Linked DNA regions of Arabidopsis thaliana. The protein of the gene in region 2 interacts with the protein of the main gene of each other region in a pairwise test. Each region holds a gene or a part of one and is shown on either strand. Other genes may lie near its edges.

The links. Proteins that work in one complex are often made in the same cells at the same time.
Region 1: the proteins of AT5G55220 (region 2) and FIB interact in a two-hybrid assay, tested with the Arabidopsis thaliana proteins (one large-scale study listed by BioGRID).

Annotation. Positions count from the first base shown.
Region 1 is NC_003075.7:1,930,083-1,933,836, reverse strand, and holds the start of FIB (fibrillin), read right to left. Parts: upstream 1,955-3,754; 5' UTR 1,677-1,954; coding exon 1,231-1,676; intron 889-1,230; coding exon 693-888; intron 606-692; coding exon 291-605; 3' UTR 1-290. UniProt on the Arabidopsis thaliana protein: Probably involved in light/cold stress-related jasmonate (JA) biosynthesis. Contributes to the protection of photosystem II (PSII) against light stress.
Region 2 is NC_003076.8:22,395,731-22,399,484, reverse strand, and holds the start of AT5G55220 (trigger factor type chaperone family protein), read right to left. Parts: upstream 2,029-3,754; 5' UTR 1,809-2,028; coding exon 1,488-1,808; intron 1,379-1,487; coding exon 1,295-1,378; intron 1,201-1,294; coding exon 1,072-1,200; intron 912-1,071; coding exon 823-911; intron 715-822; coding exon 531-714; intron 271-530; coding exon 180-270; intron 75-179; coding exon 1-74. Other genes in the region: AT5G55210 (uncharacterized protein), read left to right, coding at 2,111-2,416, 2,495-2,632, 2,716-2,778; MGE1 (Co-chaperone GrpE family protein), read right to left, coding at 3,150-3,248, 3,384-3,512, 3,601-3,754. UniProt on the Arabidopsis thaliana protein: Involved in protein export. Acts as a chaperone by maintaining the newly synthesized protein in an open conformation. Functions as a peptidyl-prolyl cis-trans isomerase.

The sequences.
Region 1 (3,754 bases), on a different chromosome or scaffold from region 2:
AACTGAAACTAAACCGGAAAACCGAATGCCATACAGAATGCAAACCCTCCTAGTATACCAAATTTGAACCAATGCTAAGTGTTGCTGTTGCAAACCCATAACTGGCCTGTTCAAGTATGTAGTTATGTATATGTATTGTAGTACAGTATACCAAGAGTAACATCCATTATAAGTTTATAACTCTCCAACAGGTAAAGAAGCTATATAACAGTTACAACACTAGTAAACATAGACAGATGGGTCTATACTTGTATATATGTTACTATGGATGTGATGAGAGTTATGATGATTTAAGGGTTTAAGAGAGAGCTTCCTTCTTTGATGAGCACATAGACGCTTCCACCATCGCCTCTCGAGATCCGAAGGTCCTTGTCGAGATAAGTTGTGAGCAGCCACGACTGCGTGTTGTCACTAGGCAGAGAAAACTTCAATGGTGGTTGGTTTGAAATGGTTCTAGCCACTGAAGAAGCAGTGTCTTGGACTGATGTAAGTAAACCTTTAATGGGATTGAGATCGATTTTCTGACCAAGAACCTCCACGGATTCCGGTATTTCAATCGAATCCGTTAGCTGAGGAGTCCCTATAACACCTTGCTCGAACTTAATCTACAACAAACAAAACAAAAAAAACAATTAGGTTATGTAACATTAGCATTTGCCATTTGTGGTTTTAGGGGATGATTCTTGATTTACCTGGACACGTTTAGGACTTCGGATTTCAAACTTAGCGTTGGTGCTAAACGACGTTGTGGAAAACGGACCAGCGAACCGGACAGAGTTTTGAACGGTGAAGCTATCGGAATCAATGGTTTGTGAGATCTCATCCACTTTAACCAACGGTTCAATTCTTCGTGAGAGCAATGGGAACAACCCCACGAACGACGTGTAGCTTCACGAGATAAACACTTAAAAACTAAGTTCTTGATTCATAACAATAACGGCTAAAAATAAACGAAGGCTCATAACTACACACAGAATCATAATCCAAATTCATAATTAAATCTTCTTTGTAACCACAACTTGCTTTTCACTATCAAAATCAAATCATTCATAACGGAACTAAACAGTTTTCACCGGGAAATTAAACTTCCACCGGTAAGTTTAAAGTATCATTAACTTAATTGGTAAAGATCCTAGACGAAGCTTAGAGATCACCGGTTTGAGTAATGTTTGGGACAAAACTAATATTACATGCCGTGCCTAGGAGAGTATCAGAACTAAAAGTACTTACGCGAGGATCCATTTGCCGTTGAGGAGAAACAGAGCTTCGTTAGGAGCTGGAGTAGGGTTCTTAGACTCGAGCTGTGTGATGAGCTCGCTGATCTCAGCTCTCGTATCACTCGATACGCTTAAACCTCGATCTGTTCCGTACAACGAATCCGCTAGTGATCTCTTTAGCCTCTCCGTCTCCTCCACGGATTCGATTGCTTTATCTGCTACCGATACGGTTGAAGATGAGGCAAATACTCTCTCCACTCCATCTTGACCCCATTCGTCGTCGATGTCCGTCGCTCGGATTTTGAAATCTGGCCGATGAACAGAGACTCCAATCTCCGATCGCCGATTTATTGAGTTAATCGGTAGTAGGATCGGAGATTTCGATTGGTGTTTAGTGTTTGATGAGCTTGGATTTAGGGTTTTGCAGGGAAACTGGGTGAACAATGGTACCGTCGCCATTTTTGTGTTTGTTCTTCAGAGAAACCTCACGAATTAGGATTTTATAACCGTTGAGCTGGACTGTAAATGACGTATATACCCTTATCTGGTACACTTTCTTATGAACATATAAGTCAAGATCCAAGGGATAGAATAGGTATTTGGAATAGAACAAATGAGGTAAGCTAAGGTGGGATTTTGACACGTGGATGGTTAAAGATCATTGTTTTAAGAATCGACCTGGACTCGTGTGAAGTTGCCGACTTTATGAAAAATTCATAAAATTTGTGGAAGATTTTATTTTCTTCAATAGGGAAACAATTTGGTTTAATTTGGTTTTTGTCCCATTATTTGTGTGGGGGAGAATTTGTTTGGGTTTTCTACGAGAGTTAGGCCATGCAATGCAAATGGCATGATGGATCTAGAATCTTCGGACGTGTACTATACTTTTTGGCCGGTTTTGGTGATCTTCGATCTTCAGTTTTCTGAACGGTGAAGATTCTCTCCAATGCAAAATATCTAAACGGCGATTAATCAACAGTGTAATAAGTAGTTGGACTAAATGGGCCTGGATAGTATATTTAATGGGCCTTTATTAACAAAGAAGACCCATTAAAAATTTAAAATGAATACAATAGTTTTGTATCCAATAGACCAATAGGTCCAAAACGTTCTTAAAGGGAGAAAAATTAGCTGGTAAAATAATAGTACCGGTGTTTGTTCAAAAAAAATAATAATAATAATACTGGGCAGGTGTAGATATTCGGGTACTCATATCTGTTCGGTTCTTTTTTTTTTTGAGTATCGGATCTATTTAGGTATGAAGTTAAAAACCATTCATGTATTCTAAAATTTTGGTTCGGTTTTGGTTTGAGTTTGGATCGATTTAGTTATTTTAGTAAGAATTGAAAAATAATCAAAAATACTCAAAATATTTTTGGGTTCAGGTCGAGTTCGAGTTTTTTACTCATCTATACCTAAATCTAACCGAGATGCCTGATTAGTTTATCCAAAAATATATTAGTTATATTTTACCAAAATATAACCAAATGTAACCAAAATACTTAAATTACTTAGAAAACTATAGGGTGAGTTAAAAATATATACATGGATAAACAGAATATTAAGAATTTATACATAAAAATATGTTATTTACGTAAATAGGAAAGAGAAATAAAATATAAACCAAAAAATATCCTTCCGGTTTAGATTAATTACAAAAATGCCATTGATTCAAAATACTTTAATATTTAATTGGGAGATTTGCAAAACTGCCCTTATTCTAATAACCTTTTGTAAAAATGTCCTTTCCTGAAGGCCATTTTTAAAACTACCCTTTCTAATATGGCAAATGACTGTCTTACCCTTACTGAATGATTAGGTTTCACATTCGTTTCACAATACAATTCGTTTTGGCACAAACTTCTTCGTTTTGGCCAACGAATTTTCCTATCCGATTTCACTCAAAATCGCCGGCGAATTTCCTCTCCGATTTCACTCAAAATTGCCGACGAATTTCCTCTCCGATTTCACTCAAAATCGCCAACGAATTTCCTCTCCGATTTCACTCAAAATCGCCGACAAATTTTCTCTCCGAGAAACCCCAAAATCGCTGACGAATTTCCTCTCCGATAAATCTGTTCTTCGCTGACGGATTCAGATCATTTCTCTACGACGCAAACAATCCCCAGAGATATCGATAGATCCGACGGTAACCGTTTTTATAATCGATTTTATAGTCGATTTTATAGTAGATCTGACGATGTTTCATAACATGTTTTGCAGATGGATTCAGAGAGTGAAATCCTTACATTGCCTGAACAGATCTACAGAGAAGGTGAGGAATCTATTGCACTGGGAACCGTTCAACAATACTTGGATTGGAATTTAGTTAGTAAAGTAGAGGAAGCTTTAGGCGAGTGTTTATTTCAGAAGATTAGAAGTTCGTTTCTTGGTCTTCTAGTTGAATTGGGACCAAAAATGAAGGCTAAGAAGGGAATCAGATTTTCTGGGAAAATCTTTCACTATCTCATGCAGCAGAGAGTGAAAACAAAAGGATCAACTCTTTGGTTTAGAGTTGATTCTCAACCTATCTGTTT
Region 2 (3,754 bases):
TGCTCGAATTCCTATGATTGCATCAAGGAATCCAGGAAGTAATCTATTCCCTTCTTCAGTGTCAAAGTGAAAACCTGTTCACACAACCGCCAATCTCAGTATTCATTTGCAAGCAATGATTTCAATGGACTAAGAGATTTCAACCACAAATCTCTGTTGAAATATAACAGTTCTAAAACCTTTGCTTTCAGCATCTGGAATCGCTTGACCCGTTGACCCGTCCTCATCTATAGTTGTAGCAGAAATATCAACAACTGCTAGATCTCCCACCTACACGGTTTTAGGACATAATAAAAAAGCAATTCTAGCAACTATATCATCTTTGCAGAGTTAACTACGAACAAATGAAGCCAGATTCATAGCCAAATTATTTTAAAAAAACTTAAATCTATAATAAGCTATAGTGGATGAACTTAAATGTAACGACTAACGAGGTAAAAGGTCGGTCCTATTTTAACTCAGCAATTAGCAACCTTACACTAGTTTCAGAAAACAATGCAAGGACATGGGGAATTTATGCATTCCTTTACCTGTAGCCCTCGCTCGGTTACAATCTTCAACGCACCAAGAGACTTGTATTTCTGTCTTAGTTGTCTTTCACAAGCTTTTTTTGCATCTATCTCATCGCCTAGTTCTACAACGACCTTCATATTTTTATACCCATCCTCAGGATTCCATTTTAGTTCAGGTACAACATCAACAACCACCTCATAACTAAGGAACAAGAGAAAATCAGAAAAAAAAAAACAAAAAAAACATGTTAAGTTAGTTAGCATCATTACTCCAAAAGATTTTTAGTATATGTGATGAAGAAACAAAAACCTAAGAGTCTTGAGCTTAGAATAAGCCTTCTCCATATCTGGAAAACTGCTTACAATCTGTATCGAGTCTTTTAAAGCCCTTCCAGTCACCTACAAAAACCAAAATCTCATATGCATAATGTTCCAAGACAACAAACACCGAATTTAGATACACCACAAGACTTGTTCTTGCCAAATGGCCAAAACATTATATTAAACCGCGGAAGATTGAAAAACATAAACAAACTAATATAAACATTTGAAAACTTACTGATTCCATGGCGTGAGGAAGTGTTCTCTTTAAGATAGATTCAACAGTTGCTCTCAGAACATATTGCCTCCCAACGAAACCAACAATAATATTCTCTGGAACTCTTGTTTTAGGACGGAATCCAGGCACCTGATTCAAACCAAGTAAAATCACAATCAACAGCAAGCATTACATGGATCAAGTTTCAACATTTCATCTTCATGTAAGATGAATATTAGTTTACCTTTGAGAGTTTCATGAATTCGGTAAGGACTCGTTGGTAACAATCTTCACAGACAATTTCTGGAACTTCCACACTCAATTTCACCTAAATTGAACAGTAAATCAAATTTCAAGTCATGTCAAAACTCAGACCAAACACAATGCTACACATATTCTCCAACAAATAGACAAAAAAAAAATTGAAAGTCTCTTACACTTGAATTCGCCTGTACAGTCTCCGTGACCTTAAGATCAGCTGGAAGTTTGTCTTCCTTTACACTAGTTTCAACCGCTGGAGAAGCCGCCGCGAATAGCCTAAAATTACCACCATGTGACATAAAATCTCCGAAAAATCCAATTTTTCTAGAGACACAAGACATGTCCAAAGGCCTGCTAATTGGTTTCTTCAACCTCCCACCAAACTGTAGCACACTATCTGATTGGAAGAGACGGGAACTAACACGACGTGTAATAGACGGAAGAAACGGATTAATTGCCTTCACCGTCGTAGTCGTGCTGATAACACAGAGCTCCATTTTCGCTCTCTCTTCTTGCTTATACTGAACAGAGCTAATGAATGAAGCGCCACTTCTTCTTGCTTCTACTTTCAGATAAACAGAGTTATCTCCTTAAAACGCTGCGTTTCGACTAATCAACAAATCTCTCTTTAAAACGCTACGTTTCAACTAATTAACAATTATCTCACTAAAACGCCGCGTTTTGAAGCCATATCACATAAATACGCCGCGTTTGTGGCTATATCACATCAAAACGCAGCGTTTTCTAGCTGATAGATAAAGCAACTATTTTCCCGGCTAGTGAGAAGAGAGAGAAGAGAATGGAAGGTGTAGGATCGAGATTGAGCCGGACGTCATCGAGATACAGTGGTCCGGCGGCGACGGCGGTGTTCAGTGGCCGTGTAAGGAAATGGAAGAAGAAGTGGGTACGTGTCTCAACCTCATCCGTCGGTGTTTTCAGAGCATCTAAATCCAACGGTCGTAACAACAGCAACAACAGTAACTCACCACACCATCTACTTCTCCATAAGTGGACTCCACTTACCTCAGCGACGGTTACTGCCTCCGACGCTAATGGTTCCGGTGAGACAGAGGAGTCGCCTAAGCGAAGATTCAGATACGCTCCAGTAAGTTTTTTTTCCCCAAATCATTAAATTAGGGTTTTAGTTGTGTGGGATTAGTGGAAAATGATTGATTTTGTGTAGATTGCGATGCTTGAGCATAGAGAAAAAGTGATTTCTAAGGATTCTGAAATTGAAGAGACTGAAGAATTCGACACTGAATCTCCATTACCTAAAGCTGTTGAGCTAGACATGAACCTAACAGACTCAGACCAAACTAAGGTAAGCTTCATTTAAAACTCAAGCAATGTAATGAAAGTGGTTAGTGTTTGTTCATACTTGTGTTTTATAAACTTACTCTGCAGGAAGCAAAAACTGGTAATTTGAATCTGGGACTGTGTCTGAATTCTGAAGGGACTGAAGAATGAAGAGAATCATATTGATTTGGGATGAGCAACTATAAAATGTGTTCAGCTGTGATGATGTCTTATATTGTATCTTATGCTAGGCGGTTATTCCACTTTGACGTCTTCTAGATCTCTATGTAGTGTGTTTGTAAGTTAGGAAGAAGTTATATAAATGTAAGATTTGAAGCTTTTACCAAGAGTTTGGCTTTGGCTTATGAATTTGTGTAAAAGTTACAGAACCAGGGCTTCCCTGGAAGTACAGAGCATAGTCATGCTACCTTATGGGAATCTTGTTCCTCCAATGAATATGCAAAGAAAGAGAACTATTAACTAAAAAAAGAACTCATGAAGATGTTAAAAACAAAAGCTTAACTCTCGATGTTTTAAGTATTTCAAGCTGCAGACTCTTTGCCGCCTTCTTGATTCTCCACGGCGCAAGTAACACCAACCTCAGCTGGCCTTATAACTCGATCGTACAATGAGTATCCAGACTGCAAATATGGAAGAAAAAAAAACAGTTATAAAATGATGGCAGAGAATCCATGATATTGTGTGGATTTCTAAAAGTTAACATAGGCTTAAGAGTTAAAGCAAGAAAGAGAGCAATCCTTTGAATAGTTTAGTACCTTTAGGACATGAGCAATTGTGCCTTTTGGCTTGGAAGCATCTGGGACTTGGAACACTGCGTTATGTCTGTTTGGATTAAACGGTTCATTTAAAGGATCTTCTTTCACCAAACCAGCTTTTCTAAACACCTGCAGTTTTACATACAAAATTGCATTCTCAGCACCAGTCTTATTATCATTGTTTACCTCAAAAGATATATATAATGGACGTTTTTACCTCAGCTAATTGTTTCTCAGTCATCTCCACTCCTTCTAATAGGTTTTTTAACAGTGGAGTAGCACCAGCCAAATCTTTTGAAGTGTCGATCTTCGAAAAACTCTCTTTGACAACAGAAGAAGCTCTTTCAAGATTATCCGCCACATCCAAAAGG